Linked DNA regions of Daphnia pulex. The protein of the gene in region 2 interacts with the protein of the main gene of each other region in a pairwise test. Links are inferred from orthologs where the notes say so. Each region holds a gene or a part of one and is shown on either strand. Other genes may lie near its edges.

Region 1 (9,332 bases), on a different chromosome or scaffold from region 2:
TTAAAAAGGAGAATCGTCACACAACAAATCTAAGTCAACACGCCCAGGACACAAAACAACATTTTGGAATTGTAGGGTTTTTTTTGTTTTGTGTCGGAGAAAAAAAAAAAAGAAAAACAAACTAACCAAATATTTCTTCCGGGCCGTCACAAAAAGTTTCTCTTTTTTGTTCCTCTCTAATTTCACATTGGCTGGTGGTGTTGTTGCTGTTGTTGCGGCTGTTGTTGATGATGCATGTGTTGGTTGTCGTAGCCGAGTGCCATCGGATTGACGGCATTGTTAGATCCGGCTACAACCCCGCGCTGCAAGACTTCCTGGGCCGGAGGGCAATGCGGCCTCGGTCCAGGCTCCGGTGTGTAGGTGAACGTCAACCTGGTGGCGTAGATGACACCGTCACTCCTCACCAAAGATATGGGAACCTACGAAAAAAAAATGACATCAATAAATCTGGAAAAAATAAGAAAAGACAAAACGGAATGAAAATGAAAAGTACCTGAGTCGGTCCGCGGACCCACTGCCAACCGGAACGGAAAGCTGAAATATCGGGCACGACGCACAGCATCGACTCCTCACAGCGGAACATGGTCTCGGCCTCCACGTCGCCAAACCACACTTTCAAATTGGGTGTCAGATTTTCGCCCATCAGCTCCAACATGGCCACATCGCCGCCACCGTTCAACTATGAAAATACGAAAAGGCAAAAATTAAATTGACGGACTAGGACGGACTAAAACAAAAAAATATGGTTGACGTCGGCACTAGCGGGATTCTTTTTTTAATTTAAAAATAATGAAACAAAAAAAAATGTTTGGGAGGGAGGATGAGGATAGTTGTGGAAAATTGGCGTTCCGCTTTGTTGGTGCCATCCAGCGTTGATTGTAGTGGTCGGTTGGTTGGTGGTCAACCTGCGACGGTCAACGATATAACAAATGTGTGGGAAAAAAAACGAAAAAGAAGACCAAGTAAGAGTAGGAGGAGGTGAACGGGATAAAAGGACTCTGAACAGCAGCAGCAGCAGCGACAACAAATCGCTCGCATAGTTTTCCCGTGGGAACGCATTCGCCACCCAAATTGGATAATATAACAAGAAAGGAGAAGAAGAAGTGAAGAACGAAAAGAAAGAAGGAAGGAAGGAAGGAAGAAGAACATCAGTTGAAAAAAGAAGCTAACCCCTCCCTTGTCACAATTTTTTCGTCTCGGGGGCCGAGCGTGAGAAGGTCCGTCTGGCATTCTCACGCCTATTTTCCATCCTGCCCGACGCCATTGGGGCATTTCTTTATTTTTGTATCTTATCTCCTGTCGCTTAGCCTCCCGTCAAATTTTTCCAACTTTTATCTCATTGACGAATCGGACGCCAATAAAACAAGAAAAACGCAATCGACAGCTGAAAAAGGGACTCACGTGTAGCGAGTGGACGATGGGGACAGGGGTGACGGGACTGCGGACGGGTCCCATGCCCTCGTAGAACTGGTACTCGGCCTTGTCGGTGCTGATGATGGTCCAGGCGGCTCCGTCGTTGATCATTTCCTTGTTGGGCTCCTTGGGGCACGGCGTCGCCTGGAACTGGATGATGCGCTCCTGGCTGAGGCACAGGTACATCCGCTCCGTGTCTTTCATGTAGAAGGCGCACTTGTGCAGCTGCGAGACGGGGTCGTCGGCGTCCAAAACGGCCATCTGCTTGTCCACTTTGCGGATGATGAGCCGGGGTAGGGCCATGCCCGTCACGCTGCACACCAGCTTGACCGTGCTGCCGTAATGGATGTAGCCGTCGCGCACCGTAAACTCTTCCGACTCGGATTCGCTGTCGTCCACTGCCGAAACAAAATTGAAATCAAAACATTTTATTTTTGTTTTCAGTTAAGTCGAGAAACAAATGGCGGAATTTTTGTAGTAGATGCTCACATAAGTGAATGGTGAAGGCGCCCCATTGGGTGGAACTGGCGTGAAAATTGTTATTGTCCACGTGCAGGTAACGAGTGCTGACCGTTTGCGAGCGGAGTCGATTGAACAGGGCCACTTTGGTCCCGCTGGCGATGCACACTGGGAATTTTTACACAGTCAGATGTTAAGTCAATCGAGAACTGAAAAAATAAGAATCAAAACACTCACGATCGGCGTTCTTGAGCGACTGCTTCTTCTTGGACGGTTTGGAAATGACTTTAATCCGCTTGCTGTGGAAGACGCCGATATCCTGGCCGTTGCCGTAAAACATTTTCACCGACAGCATGAAATGCTTGCGCTTGTCCGAGTCGGAAATGAACAGCGTCTTGGCCGCGCAATAACTCTGCCAGAAATCAAAATTCCCAATGAATAAAAAATTCCGGAATTGGTTAAAATTTGAAAATTACTTTGCCGTTGAGGTCGAGTTGCTGCATGTCCTGATCAGAGTTGCCGATGCCGATGAAGGCGCAGAGCTGCGAGGCGGCTTCGGCTTCTGCGGGCGAGGCCCCGTTGGCGGCGGCTTCGCGCTGGATGGCCTCGCGCCTCCTCCGCCACCCGTCGCCGTAGAGGTAGATGCACGGCGGCGGGCAGAAGAAGCGCTTCTCGTTGCCGTACGACTTCTGGGCCACTTTAGCGTGCAGGATGACCACGACCATGTCGCCGTGCTCCTGCAGGTAGCGCATCATCGCCTCACGGGTCAGCCGCTGCTCCTTGGTTCCGCCCCTGTACGCCGATCCGGTCGGCCTATTATTTGATATAAATAATTCATTCAATCAAACTAATCCGGAATAATAATAATAATGACGGCGACTTACCCGTATCGATCGATGGGCACCGGTGGCGACGGAGTCGAAAGAGGCGACGGCGGAGTCTGCAGAGTCGGAGCCATGGCCGAACTGGGATGCGCCAGGGCGTAAGGGTTATGATGTTGTTGTTGTTGCTGTTGTTGTTGCTGAGCCCCCTGCTGCTGCTGCTGCTGGTGATGATGGTGTTGTTGTTGTTGCTGATTGAGCAAATGACCGCCGCTCAAATCGCCGGATGCTCCCACCACCTTGTCCGGTGGAGTCAAAGAGCCCGGAATCAATCCGCCCGCTCCGACAACTGTCAAAAAACAAACAATTCAAAATTAAAATTTCCGATCGAGATCAAAATGTCCTCCAAATGAATCAAATAGACAAACAATATCTGTTTGGAAGATTTTGTCGAATCTGTGCCGCTCACATCAGTCAAAAAACAAAAGATTTCCTCGTGTGTCTTTTTTTTTTTAAATAAAAGAAAAAGAGAAAAGACAAAACAAACTTTTAGCGTTCTAGGGCGATCGACTCTGCAACTGGGAAAAGTAAAAGAAAAGCCGTGGGAAACGGAGCAGTGGGTGCGAGCTGCACAAGATTAGACACACAAGTCGGCACATTGCCATGTCCTTCTCTCTCTCTCTGCACACACAAACCCTCCCATTTTTAGAAGAAAAAAGAAGGAAAACAAAAGATTTTCACCCTCCCCGGCTGCAACAATTCGCACATACATAGACAAACATCCGAAAAAAGATGAAAAACTAGTCGGCGGATGGACGGATGGGCTTCTCTATTTTTTAGATGAATATTACATGGGGCCTTCCATATTTTTCCCAACAACATCTCGTTCGTCTACCCTTTTTTCAAATCAAATGTCATCTGAAATTCTTCCCCATTTAAAAATGATGACAATTTTCTTTTATCGCTTCCTACTAGTCCCGGTCCAAATAACAAATTTGACAAGCGCTCCTCCGCGTGTGTGTACCAGTGCGCCCCAGACACATTCATACAGAGGAAGGGAGGAGAGAGGATCAACGACACCTGCAAGCGCCCGGTTGAGTTCCCACGCTTGGCTATATTTGATGTTGCGGATGGAATAAGAGGGAGGAGGAAGGAGGGGTGTCTGGGGGGTTCCAAACCGAAAAGGGTGGGCTTATGAGTGTGTGTGTGTAGGGTATACATATACAAAGTTATATGTATGGAGACGATTCAACGCTTTAATGCAAAATGCATTTGCTTCTCTCTGGCCGATAAATCGATCGAGTGTGCAACGCTGATGGAACTAGTACTACTACTCCTTCACCTACTCTCACTCCCCCACTCCCTGAATCCACCGTTGAAAACACTCGAGTTCCGCAAATCGATATCCAACACATGGTGACCATCTTTTTATTCCGGGGGGAGAAAGAAAGAGAAGGGAGGGTCCGTGACCGATAGACTCTCCCCCTCATCCACCACTCCGCATTATGATGACGACAATATGCTTTGAAATTATTTATTCGTTTTGACTTTTAATATTTACCGGAATCGGGGATGCCCAGCGAGAGGCTGAGCCCGTTGGGTTTGTAGGTGTCGTTGCCTCCGCGCTGACGTTGACTGGACGAGGTTGCGGGGCTGTTGTAGTCGGCGGCCGAGAGACCGTAGAAGGCGGCCGAAGTGGCGGCTGAAACGGCCGGATTGGGAGGTCGTTGCTGAGAATTCGACAAATCGACCGGGTGCTGCTCGGTAGGCGTGAACGGTTGTTGTTGTTGTTGTTGCTGCTGTTGTTGTTGTTGAGGCTGGTTGAGGTTGTAAGAAGACGGCGGATGAGTAGCTGTCAGCAATTCCGTCATCACCTGCCCTCCACCCACAGACTGTTTGAAGGAAAATAAAATGAAAAGTTGCAAACGGAATGGAATTTGAAAAGTTTAAAGTTGATTGGATGTTACCTGTCCGTAATAAGCGGCATGTTGTTGTTGCTGGTGATGATGCTGGTGGTGATGTTGTTGTTGCTGCTGCTGCTGCTGATGGTGGTGGTGATTGTGGGGCGAATAAGGATCGTGCGAATTGGACCAAACGTCCACCTCGCCGCCGCTTCCGTGTCCCACGCCGACGACTGTCGAACCGGATGAGCCGACCGTTCCGGCCACCGATGTCACGGCCACACTGTTGTTGACTCCGCCGATCAAATCCACAGACTCGCGGCTGTGCTGGGCCTCGTAACCGCCACTTAAACTGAACCCGTAATGGGCCTGTCGGAAAAATTCAATCAAAATATTAAAACAAAGTTTCGTTTTTAAATTTCCACGCCAATAACCAAATAAACCAAAAACGCTCGACTCGACTCACCAACGGCTTAGCTAGAGGCATAATTCAAATCTAATCAATAAGAAACTATCCAAAAAATCTTATCTGATCCAAAAACAATCAATCAATCGAGAAAATGGCGACACATTGTCCCAATGAAAATAACGAAACGGCCGATTGAATTCGAAACAAAAATGAAATTGTTTTTTTCCAGAGTTGAAAGGGAGACCGGCTTGATGCTCGGCCCGAGTCCTACTGTCCCGCTGGGCTGCGTTACAGTGTCGGTTGTTATTTCACACTTGACCCGACGACGACGAATACGACGACGACGTGAAGAGAAAAAAGAAAAAAATAATTTCATCCCCTCCCCGAGAGACGTTTTGGCCTGGCACGGCATTTTGGACGTGCGCGTTGAGAGCCACTCGGTGGCTAAAGCGACGACGACGTCGTCGACAGGTGCGCCGATTCCCACACGCTTTTCACTCTCTCTCTCTCCACCCCCCACCCCGTCACCCACTTCGCTATGTATACACATTGAATGACGTCGAGGATAACAGAGCCGACCGAAAAAGAAATAGACTCTGGGAGAGAATAATATCCATAAATCTCCACGTGCACTAGATTTTAAAGAAACATTTTTTTCAAAAATCAGATGACGTAAGTTTTTGTTACCGATCGATGATGAATAATCCTTGGCGTATAGAAACAAATTCACTGGACAACATTGTGCAGGGAGGGAAATTCAAACTTGAAAAAAAATATTTTCCAACTCAAAAGTTGGTCGAGTGCAGAGTGCGTTTGAAAAAGTGACCGTTTCCCACAGTCTCCGGCAGGCAAATGAAGTTGGTGGGTTGTTCTTCTCTATGTATCCTAGCTCCTCTCTACTCTCTATACGGTTTCTCTCGAGGCATCTTTTTTTGAATAAGAGAGAAGGGATCGGATGACCTTTTTCTTTTAAAATAAGGGGCTCTCCCCTCTTCTTTCTATTTTTTAAAAGAACAAATTGTTTGAACCAGTGCACACACACAAGGGTATATAGTACGAAATACACACACATTTTTTGTTGTTTTTCCCCTCTTGTGTTGAACAAGAAGTAAAAAAGAAAAAAAAAGTTTTTTGAAAGAGATGGCCGCCGGCGGTTCCCACACAAACACACTAGACACTTTAGAAGGCTCTCGTTAACTCTTTCCGTCTCTGTGTGTGTGTGTGTTATCTCCAATTTGTTAGATTCTTGTCAAGAAATCAACCCGAAATCAAAAAGTTAAACAAAAGCAACTCAACTTTTTAAATGTTAAGTCCGTCCAGACAGACAGACGGACAGACACTTGTAGTCACCCAAATGAAAATTGATTTGGCGAAGCATTTGAAAAATGAGAGATCTTTTGTAATTTAGATGTTGAGCAGCCAAAAGTAAACCGATCTGGGAATCGGTAATACGAATCGCCATCACTTTTCTAAGAGAGGAGAAACTACCAAGTTGTTCAGTGCTGGGCTGTGCAGTTGCTGGGCGAGGCCCGATGGAATGTCAATTGAAAAAGTTTCTTGTGTGTGAACCCCCACAAAAATGAGTGGGGGGAAAGGGGGGGGGGGAGAATGTATAGGAGAGTTGTGATCAAAACCTCGACCCATGTACCCATGCACCCACCAAACCCGCCCCGGTTCGTGGGAAAGAATTTGGCCGTCTGGGAAAATGAAAAACACAGTCCCGCTGGTGGTGGTGGTGGCTACTATATAGACATAGTAGTAGTGTAGTAGTAGTACGGTAGTCACTACACACACAGAGACTAACCTTTTGTATGTATAAATGACCTCCTCCGCAAACCCCGGCGGGCACATCCTTCCGCCCTGCTTATTTTTTTCTCTTTCAAAACCCACACACTAAAGCTCATGTACTAACTGTTACCTCTCTATACTGGCTTTTAATATCAGAGGAAGGGGGGGGGGAGCAAATACATAATCAACAACAACAGAAGAAAAGTTTTTTTTTTTCCCACACACTCACGTGTGTAAACAAAATTCGAGCGGAGCGCGCCAAATTCAAAATTTTCAAATTGTTCGAAATTTGATCATTTTTTTTTATCCGATCGAAATTCAAGGAGAATTGAATTCGGATCCAATAAAAAGATGCCGGGAAGAAAAGGAAAAAAATAAATAAAAAATAAACGGGCTACCGGACAGGAAATAATCGTGGACGACAGCCAAAGTCGTAAAAATCGGGAATTGCCTATAACTGAAAATCGTGATGTTGACACAAGTCGGCTTCTCTTTTTCACACGATATCACCGGTTACGCATGTCTGTGTGTGTGTGTGTGTCATTGAGTCTGAGACACATTCCTTATCGCCGACATAATCATCATCGTCGTAAGATTCTTATCATCGACCCAGTAAAAATAAAATCAAAAGAATTTCAAACGTTTGAAAATTGCCGCCAATATCAACACGAGTCGGCAAACACAAAACTTGGAAAACTTCAAATTTTCTTCCTTATTATTATTTTTTTAAATACCCAAGTATCGGCGAGCGGACTACGTGCGCTGGGTGTGTAGGGCTCCGAGTCGAGGTCCATTGAGCTGGGCGCAACGTCGGGCATTTTGTCCAAATTTCTTTTATTAAAACTTCGTTCCAATATTTCACTGCGAAAAATGTTGACGATTGTCAATGGCTAAAAAGCGTCACATGTGTCCAAAACCAAATTCACTGGATAAACCGAAAAACACTAGGCGACGAGATAAACCAAATTCCGTTGAGATCGACGGATGTTACGAGACAAGGACGGCCACTGGGCGCGTGCTGATTCCAGTCCAACCGTCGTGCAACTAAACTGAACATTTTCTACCCAACGACGACGACGGCGGCGGCGGCTGCCCCCTTTTCACCTAGGGTGGAGTGTATAGGGGGAGGAGGGTAGGTCCCGAGCACACAGACACACTATGTGTGCAGCTGTACCTCCTCCTCCTCCTACTACCCCCAGCAAAACGGACACACAAGAGGAAGGAGGGGGGAGTTGAAAGCGTCATCGGGTGGGGGAGGTCTGTCTTTTGTTGTACAACTTTTTAAATAGACTCCAATAGATTTACACAGCAATCTGCTCCACGTAATAATCCCTTTGATCCAAAAAGTCCCCCAACTGATTTTTTCCTATTTCAATTCAATTCCAATTTGATCGAACTGAATTATTCAAATTAATAAATACGGGTGGTAAATGAATATGCACACACCATGGGGGATCTGTGGGGGAATCCGATGAATCAAACGTCTAATTATTTTATCGGGGGGGGAAGGAATTTGGGCCTACATCCCAATTGAAAAATAAAAATTTCAAGAGATGCGCTGAAATTCCCATTAATTTGTCGTCGGGTTCAAACACATCAAGGGCGTGTCATTTGGTGTAGTGTAGAGCAGGGGGGTTCATCCGCATAAAACTGAATAATGACCCCCTCACTCCCTTTAAAAAAAAAGACAGACATGGAGATGCCGGAGCTAAAGGGGAAGTTGTAACGCGAGCATAACGTGGGAAAAAACCAAAAATTTAGTCGACGTTCTTTTTCGAGTCTTACTTCGTTCGGCAACAAGTGGCGTAGCCAAAAAGGAAGAAACAACAAAGATATCCCCCCACCATACCATTTGAAATGACGTCACACACGTGTTTGTGCGGTAACACGCGGGACGATGGATTGAAGGAGAAGAAGCTCCTTCCGCAAAAGGTAAAAATAGAAGAAAGAAAAAAACCAACTGATGGGAACACAACAACAAGGAGAGTCGAAATAAATATCAAATAAAAAGAAAGACATAATAAAAAAAGAAAAAGAAAAAGTTTTTCCCGCCGACGCAAATGTGTGAGAACGACGTCGGAGTCGAGCATCCACGGAAAGGAGACACACACACACACAAAGTGGGGTTGGTGTTGAAAACCCGCTTCCTCCTCCTCCTCCCCTCCACCTTCCTTATTTTTAACCAAAAAACTAAGCTCCTCCCACCGTTCTAACATTTCTCGGGCCATTTGACCAGTTCGAAATTTAAAAAAAATTTTGAACGAAAAAATTTGACAAGAAAAGTAGACAAAACAAAAATTCAAATTTTGGACGATGATGAAGGAAAATAAATTTCCCATTGCGACTCGTCGATCACGTCACGATGCGCTGGCAATCGGGCGGCAGGTACGTAAGGGGCCGTGAGAAAAAAATGGCAACAAGTGGAACGGTGAGCAGCTCCACAAGAGCACCTCGTCAAGAGGTCAGAGGCGGTGTACAGAGGTGGCTGCTCCTAATGCTCCTAACGTATATAAGAGGTGGGGGCTTGTTGGGGTCGCCGAC
Region 2 (9,918 bases):
CGCCGCACACAAGAGAAAATGAATGGAAACAACAACAACAACTTGAAGTTGTCGTAACGCACATTTCTTAATTTTTAAGAAGAAGAAAAAGAGGCCATCACCTCCAAAGACGACAAGTCGCTAAAACCAGACATGTTTCCAGTGTCCTCCCAACTTCCGCTCGAATGATTATGCGGATGGAATGTTAGTTGGGAAAGAAGAAGAAGAAGACAGAGAGAATGAAGGAATGAAAGAATTAAAAAAGAGAGGGGCGACACATCCGGCGACGTTTCTGCTGCTGCTGCCTCCGTATGTTAGTTAGTAAAAGTTAGACGCTGCGGGCCATTTTTAAGGGGTCTCTGTGCTCGGCCGAGTGAGTGAGCGCGCGCGCTTTGCTCTCTACCCAACTGACCTTGAGGGTTATATATCCATGCCACGAATACCTCCTCCTCCTCCTGCTGGAGTCTCTCTGTCCTCCTGCTACTTACTACACTCGACCTCTATTGTCATGAAGAAATGGGGGCATATCTCCCCCCACCACCCTACAACGACTAAAAATTCGGAATTACCTGGATTTGTTGACCGTTGTTGCCTCCGCTGCTACTCATGTGCATCTGTTGCTGTTGAGTTTGGCTAAACTGGACGCTGCCCGGTCCAGCAGCTGATGGCGGAGGTGTCCGACCGCTGTTACCGCTCGTGTTATTGCCACTTGCAGTTGTACTCGTCGGCGTTGGCGCTTTTCGAGCGTTGAATTGTTGTTGCTGCTGTTGTTGTTGTTGCATTTGCTGAGGGGTAGGTGGTCCCATTGGGCTTGTCTGGCTCATTGGAACAGGTGATGATTTGGCACCAGGGACTTGATGTTGGCTACCGGGGATGCCCTGTTGTTGTTGATGCTGTTGTTGTTGTTGGACTGGTCGCCCAGGTCCGGGGCTGTTGCCTCCCAAGGGCGAATTGGCAAAATAGGGCATTTCCTTCTTGATCATTGGACTATTGGGACCGTAGCCACCTTGGCCCGTGTACGGCGTTCGATTCATGAACTGATTCGCTTGCTGCTGTTGTTGTTGTTGCTGCTGCTGCTGGGTTGGGCCTTGTGCGGATGGATTGTTGTACTGCGGTTGTTGCTGAGGCTGCTGCTGCTGCTGTTGTTGGTGTTGCTGCTGCTGGTCTTGGAAATTGCCCCGCATCCGCATGTTGTTGACGACAGGCGGATGGTGGGGAGGAACCAAAGGTGCACCTTGATTGGCCATTGTCGGGGGCGCAGAGAGACCTGTCGAGGCCTGATTCATGGCCGCCGGAGTCATACCCATCTGAGCTTTGTGTTGATGTTGCTCCGCCATTTGCTTCAATGTCAACGCGGCCGGACTGAGTTCCGGGCCACCGGAATTGACTCCAAATGGTTGCGGCATTTGCCGATTATTCATGCCATTGCCACCACCAGCGACGGCAGCACTGTTGTCCACTCTTTGCTGCTGCTGCTGCTGCTGTTGATGCTGGATGGGCGGGGTGCTTTTGGAGGTATCAACAAACGGCCCTGGAGCAATCCCAGTCGGATTGTTGTTGTTAAATGATCCAGTTGATGTCGATGATAGGGTGGCCGTACTGCAACTGGATGTCGTTATACTCGTCGTCAAGATGGATGATGACGTGTTGTTGTTGTTGCAGCTACTGGAACTGCTACTCGACTGGGCGTTCATGCTCATCGATTTGCCGATATCCAGCATGGCTGCCTGGATTTCGCGGTCGGCCGCTTCCACCTCTTCCTGCTTGAGTCGTGAGACGATGGAGTCGACCGTGCGAGATCCGTCGGATACCAAAGGAGCGCCGAATGGATCGGACAAGAGTCCGCCACTTTTGATGTTGGTGTCTGTCGTGTCGAAATCGAATTCCTCCATAAATTCAGGAGGCAGATCGTGTATCTCTGAGATCAGATCTTTGAACGTATCCGCATTGATGATTCCATCCGACGTGTCCTCCGAGATGAAACGCTCCAAATTGGCTAAATCGGCCGCCGTTTCATCAGAGTCGCCGTTCAATTCCGCCATAAAGTCGGGCGTGTCGCATCGTTTCTCCTTTTTCATTTCGGGCGGGCCATCTTGGCCGTTGGATGGCGACACCTGAGTCTAGGGAGAAAAAAAACACACCAAACATTTTTTAAAATAAAAATTCAATTCGTCGTTTTCTCTTTTTGTGTGTGTGTGACTGGATAATGACCGGATGAGCGTCATTGATAATCATCATCATCATTGAAATAACTCACCTCGCTCTTGACGGATGTGTTGGTGAGCGTCTTGACAGAGACGCTGGTGGCGCCGCTGGCGCTAGCGGTGAACTCGAGCTGCTGAACGATTTCGACCGAGAATTTGGCTGGGCCGCCACCAGAGGCCGTCGCCGATGAGCTAGCCGTCGTCGTCGTCGTGCATTGGATCTTGGCGGCCGGTGGTCCGTCGCCGCCGCCCGACGTCGACGACGACGAAGTGGAGGAGGAGTGATTTTGTTGATTTTGATTTTGGGATGATGATCCGTTCATCCCGCTGGACTCACTCCCTCCTCCATCTCCGCTCTCGTCCAGCGGACGCTTCCCGTACTTATTCTAATAAACAAAACATAATTGTCAGTTTTTTTAAAAATTATTGATTGATTGATTTCCCCAACCAAAATATGTTTGAAATGTGTTGCAAGACAAAAATAAAATAAAAGAGGGAGAAGAAAATGGTTGCCGGGTCGATAATCGAATGTCGGAAGAAGAAGAGGGGAAAATAGGGAGTCAAAGCCCCCCCTTCACTCTTCTTTTTTGGCGGAGTAGGAGGCGGACAGTCAAGGAGAGTTAGGAAGGGTGGTGTGTGTGTGGTGGTACTAGTCCTCTTTTTATCCACAGCCAAAAAGGGGATCAATAGTTCGCGGCGGAGTTAGACGAGAGAGAAGAGAAGAGAAGGAGGTGGGCCAAGTCCTTAACACACCACCCCCATCTCCGGGATATCTCACAGTGTGTGTAGAGAGAGATTCCGGCCCTCCCTATTGGCTACCTGGACCACCCCGTGACCGAACCGAGAGCCCCTACCCCGAGTGCGCTGGTGTAGTAGTACACACTCTATCAGTGATGGCTCGCATCAACGCCGCTGATTGGTCCGACACGACGAACAAGAAGTTGAGAGAGAGAGCGCGACAGTTCTCTTCTTCTTCTTTCTTCTTCTTCCTCTCATTCTGCCCCGAGGTTCAATACCTTTCTTCCCCCCTCTCTCTCTACACGGTCAAAGAACCTTGTGTGTAGGTTCCTCCTCTACTGTACGGCCATTCCTCTACACACCTAACATCCTCGATGGCAAAATACAGGACAATGAGGTCACCGACACACACAAACACACGAAAGCGCTTGACCCGATCATCACATGATTTCTATATTTTTCTCAAAAATATTTCCTACCAAAAATACAATGAGCATTATAATTCTTCTATTTCGGGGTTTCTTGTGTTGAAATATACACACAGCGCGCACCGGTTAAATTGCGGGACACATCCTCCTCCCCCCCACAGAAAGAAAAGAAATGGGTTCGTTTGCGCTGGTTTCGCTACCGGTGATGGTGGTGAACGACCTCTTTTGATCGCATCTGTTTAACGGGTTTTTTCTTTTTCTTTCCAGTGCAGTTATAATAATCTTGGCGCTATTTTCTCACGCAAAAGTCCATCACATTTTTGTACGTAAGACATTTTCTATTTCTCCTACCCAAGAGGAGCGGGAGTAGTGTAGTAGTAGGGGTGCGGAAGGGGTAGCGGGAATCAATGATTCAGCTGGTGGGCACCACACACACACAGAGAGACAAAGAGCAACTCCTTACAGGAGCGTCGCACAAGGAGTCAAGGGATCGATGATAGGGATAGTAATAAAAAAAAGAGAGTAAAAAAGATTTCGATGGTTTGTTTCTTACCGACTGCGTGTTGCCGGCGTGAGTCTCCGTAGCCGGTTTTGTACGTTCGGTGCTGGACGGACCACCACCGGTATTAGTAGTTGAGTTGTTATTAATTCCGCCGCTACTGCTGCTGCTGCTTTTATTGCTCTTGCTGTTGCTACTCGTCTTTTTGGCTTTGGGGTCGAGATACTTTTGCTTCAATGCGAACGACTCTTGCATTTGCTGTTCGCACAAGGCCGGTCCGATTCGATCATAGTGCATAAATCGATCCTGATGATCCTTGGTGTAGACTTCGACTCGCCTCCGCAGTCGATCCACGGCCGCCTGACGTTTCGGAGGCAGCACCTCCGACATTACTCCGCACGCAACCAATAATCTTATTGGCTGCCCCGCTCTTAGCTCCACATCCGTTGAGGCTCCAGTCTGCTGCTGCTGCTGCTGCTACTCGAATGCTTTAATCTTTCCACAACATGGCCTGTTTTCATGCTGAATCAACCTGCAATTGCAAAATATCACGTTATTAAATCATTCGTCAAACAAACAAGGAATACTAAAAATTGACGTTAAGAACAGACAGACAAACATCCACAAGGTCGTGATATAAAAACTATAAAACACACAATAACCTTGGACTCTTTCAAACACTTGGAATTTATAGATTTCCCAGTAGTATGTACCAGAACTTTTGTTTTTCCCTGGAAACTCTCTCTCTCTCTCTGATATCGAAATTGAATTGCAACCCGAAGAAAGAAAAAACTCTTTGAACACAATACTTTTATATTTTTTTTTGAAAAAAAAGGGCCACCACTTGTGTAATGAGACGATGGGTTTCCAAATGATGGCCTTGTGTCTACTGCTTTCCCTACCCCTCCCAGTCGAGTCCCCCCTTCCTCCACACACACACACATTTCGAAAGGGAGTTTCTCGCGCGCTTGTCAAACAACACCACCTAGCGAGCGGGTTAACAACCACTTGACGCGTCACTAACTGGGAAAAACTGAAAGATGAACATAAAAGAAAAGAGGAAGGGGAGAGACAAAATATTTTCTCTCTCCCCACACACAACCACACACACCCTTCGGAAACAACCCCAGGTTCGAAATATATGCTGGGGCTTGTTCCCCTCACTGTGAAATAAAAAACCCTCAACCATTCAAATTTCTCAGTGTGTGTGTGTATGGGGCTCCTCAATGAACAAAACCTAAAAATGGACGTTGACTGGAAATCAAAACACACAGACGCTGGGAATATATATGACCAACACGTTTTGACCCCCCCTTTCGATGCATCCTCCTATACACACACACACACACAGACATAAGAGAGTGAAATATTGATTGCAATCTCACGCTGGTGTTGTGTGTGTGCGGTTTGATAGTGACGCGGGCGGAAGGTCCCCCCAAAAACCAATTCGGTCAAAAAATACAAAAATCCCCCAAGAAAACAACCGGCATGATGATTATTACATGCAATCAATTGTCTCTATGACCGGATGGTTACTCAACTTATACTCACTCAACAGGTTACAACAATATTTTAAGAAAGCACATGTGTCATTCCACACACGCCATTTTTGTTGGCGAAATTTTCTCTCCCCCCCCCCATCCCACAAGAAATGATGATTGCATACCTGCATGTGCCGAGTTTGAATAGATCCGCAGAGATGAGGTTAGAGGTATGTGGTAGTAGTGAGTAAGTGGTAAGTCTTAAATTGTGCAATAATCCAAGACACGAGACTCGGCTTGCTTTTGGCCAGATTCCAGTCGACACACAGACACTGCAACACACACCACACACACACCACACGTCCAACACGTAACACACTCGTTGGATATATGTCCCCACCAAAGTTTATGCTTGCGCCAAAAAATAAAAAAGAGACTCGGCAGCACAGACACACCGAGAATTCAATTTTCGAAAAAAAGAAAGCCAATCGATTGAGTCATTTGAACGTTTTTTTGTGGTGGGGAGTAATGGCGATTTTTTCCAAGACTAATTATTCGTCGAAATTGAGGGAGAAACACACACGACACCAGTGAGAGAGAGAGATCGATTTCGTCGGGGATTTGGTGTGTTTGTGTGTGTGATTGACGAAGAAGAGGGGGAAAAAAAATGATTTTGTTCGGAGAAGTTTCAGAGATACGTCTCGTTCTCGTTCAGCAGCAACTTCGACTGAACACAATTGCCACATTGGCTTGGAGAGTCCCCCCAGCCCCAGCCGTTCGGAGCTGTTAGCCGTCGGCACCTTGATACTCGTAGTCAAGCACACGTCAAAATGTGTGTCTGCTTTTTCAGTTGGGGTGGGGGGGATATCTATTTTATTTTACGTGGCGCTACACCACGTAATTCAAACGTTGGAAAATATTCGACTGAAATTCGATAGAAACGTCCAAGTTGATGAATATACATTTATTTTTAAGAGAGAAAGCTCAATAATGACGACTTTCCGTATTAACAGGAGAGAGACGGATTTGACCACATTTCACTTGAAAAGCCAACGGAAAAGCCAAGCGAAAAAAGAAAAGAAAGAAAAAAGAGAGAGGGAGAGACTCGGGCTCTTCCCCGACAGACAGCGCCACAGCGGCCACGGCTGCAGACGCCACCCGTTTTCTTTCCTCTCTCTTTCGCCTCTCTCCTTTCATCCTGATTTCCTCCCTTCCCTCCGCTTTCGTTTACAGTTTCGGCCGCGCGTCTTACTTGAAAATAATTTTTTTTTGTCTTCTTCTCTCTTTCTAGATTTTTCGTGTGTTGGATTTTCATTTTATTGGGACACATTTTTTTTTTGTTTTCTATTTTCTTTTGACCTCTCAACTGTCATCTAGCGGCCAATGCGACCAACGATATACTAACGTCACATTTCTATAACTTAAATGCTATTTTCTCAATGCTAAACGCGCATAATAATTAGCTACGAGACAACATCTTGATGCAAACACGTAATAATAATACGTAAGGCAATAGGAGATGAAATTATTATGCCATTAACTGATGAAAATCTGCTCGTAAAAAGCCTATGCTTAATAATAAATCTACCAAGGCCGCACTGCAGGTCACAATGACTAACGGTCGTCGAGACGTCGACACACACAAAAAAGGAGGAAGGGGAAAAAAAAGTTACTTTCTACCAAAAACTGGCAATGCTGTATGTTTACCTCGGCGAAAAGAAAAACAAACCTTCCGTCCCGCTGATTTGTCGATTTGACAGTTGCTCTGGTAACGTTAGTATTGGCAAAGTAATAAAAAACCTGTTGGGTCGATTTCCGCAGCTTGGCAAGAAGGTAAAAAGGAAATAGTATTAAATCAGTCAACGAGGAGAACATGGGGCGCAAAGTTGTAGTCGCCGTTTGCTGCTTGAACCAGTGGGCTTTGGATTTCGACGGAAATCTGTCACGCATCATCGCCAGCATCCAAGAAGCAAAAGTACAAGGTGCTAGTTATCGCACAGGACCCGAATTAGAAGTCACAGGATACAGCTGTGAAGATCATTTTTATGAAGCTGACACTCTTCTACACAGCTGGGAGGTTAGCGTGTCACTTTTCTGATTTATGTTTACTGCGGTTTGTTTCTGGGAAATCTAGAAAATGATCTTTGATCCTCAAATAGGTTTTGGCTGAACTATTAGCCAGTCCAGTATGCAAAAATATTTTAGTTGATGTTGGCATGCCGGTTATGCACAAGAGTGTCACTTACAATTGCAGAGTTGCTTTTTTCAATGGGTAAGCAATTGTTTTATTGTTATTATGCTCTTCTTATAAACAGTACCCCCCTTTTCGCAGAAAAATCTTGCTGATTCGTCCTAAATTGAAACTCTGTGATGATGGCAATTACAGAGAATCAAGATGGTTCACTGCCTGGACAAAAGTATAAAATTTATTTTACACCAGTTTTTGGGATCTGTGGCCTTAATTAAATGTGAATTATTTTGTAAACAGCTTTACCAAACAGAGGATTACATATTGCCAGAGTTTATAAGAGAGCTTACAGGGCAAAAATCTGTAGTTTTTGGAGATGCAGTCCTGGAAACCTTGGATACCACCATAGGTTTTGAAATTTGTGAAGAATTGTGGAATCCCTCCAGGTACAGTTGTACTTGCAAATGAATATTATTATTGTTTGTTGTTTTAATGACCAGTAAAACCCAATATGCACACTATTTGGTAGTACTCACATTTCTCTCGGTTTGGACGGCGTTGAATTCATCGTCAACGGGTCGGGTTCCTACTTTGAGTTGCGCAAGGCCAACGTTGCCGTCGATCTTGTCCTACAAGCAACATTAAAGTCCGGCGGTTGCTACTTATTCTCAAATTTAAGAGGCTGCGATGGACAGCGTATCATGTTTAATGGAGGATCGTGTATCGCACTTAACGGACAAACAATCGCTAGAACGCGTCAATTCTCCTTAGAAGAAGTGGTAATTTTCGTCACAATATGTATCACTTGGATATTTTTAAAATCATTTCTTGCGATGGTTTATTCTTTAGGAAGTTGCTGTAGCCACTGTCGACTTGGATGACATACGAACTTACCGCAATTTAGTCCGTTCTCGAAACATCGCCGCTGCCCAGAGTCCATCGTATCGTCGTATTCCGGTCGATTTCAGTCTGAGCGAGTCTTCCTGCTACGCTATGAGAGCTTCCAGTACCCCATTCAAATGGCAGTACCACAGTCCTGAAGAGGAGATTGCTTATGGTCCTGCCGGCTGGCTCTGGGACTATCTCAGGTTGGTTTAAATTCATTTCAAACAACAGGATGACATTTTTTTTTAAACCGAACATCAAATTACTTGAAGGCGGTCTGGCCAGGGTGGATTTTTCTTACCTCTGAGTGGAGGTGTCGATTCAAGTTCCTCGGCTGTTTTAGTTTACTCCATGTGTCGAATGGTGGTAACTTCTGTACAAAATGGCGATAGTCACGCCATCGACGATGTCCGGCGTATTGTTGGCGATCCCAGTTACATCCCGGACGATCCTCGTGAACTGTGCAACCGGATTTTCATCACCTGTTACATGGGCAGCGCCAATTCATCGGCGGAGACACGACAGCGGGCAAAGGACTTGTCTGACCAGCTGGGAAGGTAAACGACCTTTTTTTAATTGGCCAACTTGACACCACAAACAAAAAAACAGACACTAAATTATTTTTCCTTATCACCCAATAAGCTATCATTTGACCCTGGCTATCGACGCTGTTGTCTCGGCCGCTCTCAACATTTTCACAGTCGTCACGGGGCTCGTACCAAAGTTCAGAGTCGATGGCGGCAGTTTGCGAGAAAACCTTGCCCTGCAAAACGTCCAGGCCCGAATGAGGATGGTGTTGAGCTACTTGCTGGCCCAGTTGATGTTGTGGGCCAGGGGCAGATCGGGTGGTTTGTTGGTTCTTGGTTCTGCCAATGTCGACGAATCTTTGCGTGGCTACCTCACCAAATACGATTGCTCCAGTGCCGATGTTAATCCCATCGGCGGAATCTCCAAAGGGGATTTGAAGCGATTCCTATCATACGCCCGGAATGAATATTGTCTAACTTCCCTGGACACTATTCTGACAGCTCCGCCGACTGCCGAATTGGAGCCCTTGCAAGAAGGTCGTCTAGTTCAGACGGACGAAGAAGACATGGGTTTAACTTACGCCGAGCTGGGTGACTTGGGGCGACTTCGTAAACAGGCAGCCTGTGGGCCTTACACCACTTTCTGTCGACTAATTCAAAGCTGGAGGGGAGCAGGAACACCAGCTGAAATCGCACACAAAGTATACAATGTCTCTTTTATAAAAAGAAAAAAAATGGAAATTTAGTACCAAAAGAGTTTCAATTTCAAGGTCAAACATTTTTATCGCTGCTACGCCATCAACCGACATAAAATGACGGTGATTACGCCTTCCGTCCACGCCGAGACGTACAGCCCCGATGATAACCGCTTCGACCATAGGCCCTTCCTTTACAACGCCAAGTGGGGATGGCAGTTTCGCGCAATTGACGCTCATGTAAGTATATATCGAGCCGTTTCATGCCCGACAGCTATACTACTACTATGTAAG

The links.
Region 1: the proteins of neurogenic protein mastermind-like (region 2) and recombining binding protein suppressor of hairless-like interact in a two-hybrid assay, tested with the Drosophila melanogaster proteins (6 studies listed by BioGRID). The link is inferred for Daphnia pulex from reciprocal best matches to the Drosophila melanogaster genes mam and Su(H).

The regions. Positions count from the first base shown.
Region 1 is NC_060025.1:8,028,557-8,037,888, forward strand, and holds the start of recombining binding protein suppressor of hairless-like, read right to left. Parts: upstream 9,050-9,332; 5' UTR 7,610-9,049; coding exon 7,526-7,609; intron 5,941-7,525; exon of another isoform or gene 5,691-5,940; intron 5,286-5,690; exon of another isoform or gene 5,082-5,285; coding exon of another isoform or gene 5,061-5,081; intron 4,964-5,060; coding exon 4,661-4,963; intron 4,586-4,660; coding exon 4,255-4,585; intron 3,043-4,254; coding exon 2,757-3,042; intron 2,686-2,756; coding exon 2,349-2,685; intron 2,285-2,348; coding exon 2,110-2,284; intron 2,041-2,109; coding exon 1,903-2,040; intron 1,812-1,902; coding exon 1,402-1,811; intron 680-1,401; coding exon 494-679; intron 420-493; coding exon 183-419; 3' UTR 1-182. UniProt on the Drosophila melanogaster protein: Transcriptional regulator that plays a central role in Notch signaling, a signaling pathway involved in cell-cell communication that regulates a broad spectrum of cell-fate determinations.
Region 2 is NC_060024.1:12,903,109-12,913,026, reverse strand, and holds the start of neurogenic protein mastermind-like, read right to left. Parts: upstream 6,459-9,918; 5' UTR 5,515-6,458; intron 4,381-5,514; 5' UTR 4,239-4,380; coding exon 3,903-4,238; intron 2,570-3,902; coding exon 2,237-2,569; intron 2,100-2,236; coding exon 549-2,099; intron 1-548. Other genes in the region: glutamine-dependent NAD(+) synthetase-like, read left to right, coding at 7,203-7,406, 7,489-7,601, 7,662-7,746, 7,818-7,963, 8,047-8,296, 8,367-8,605, 8,675-8,959, 9,045-9,630 and 1 more.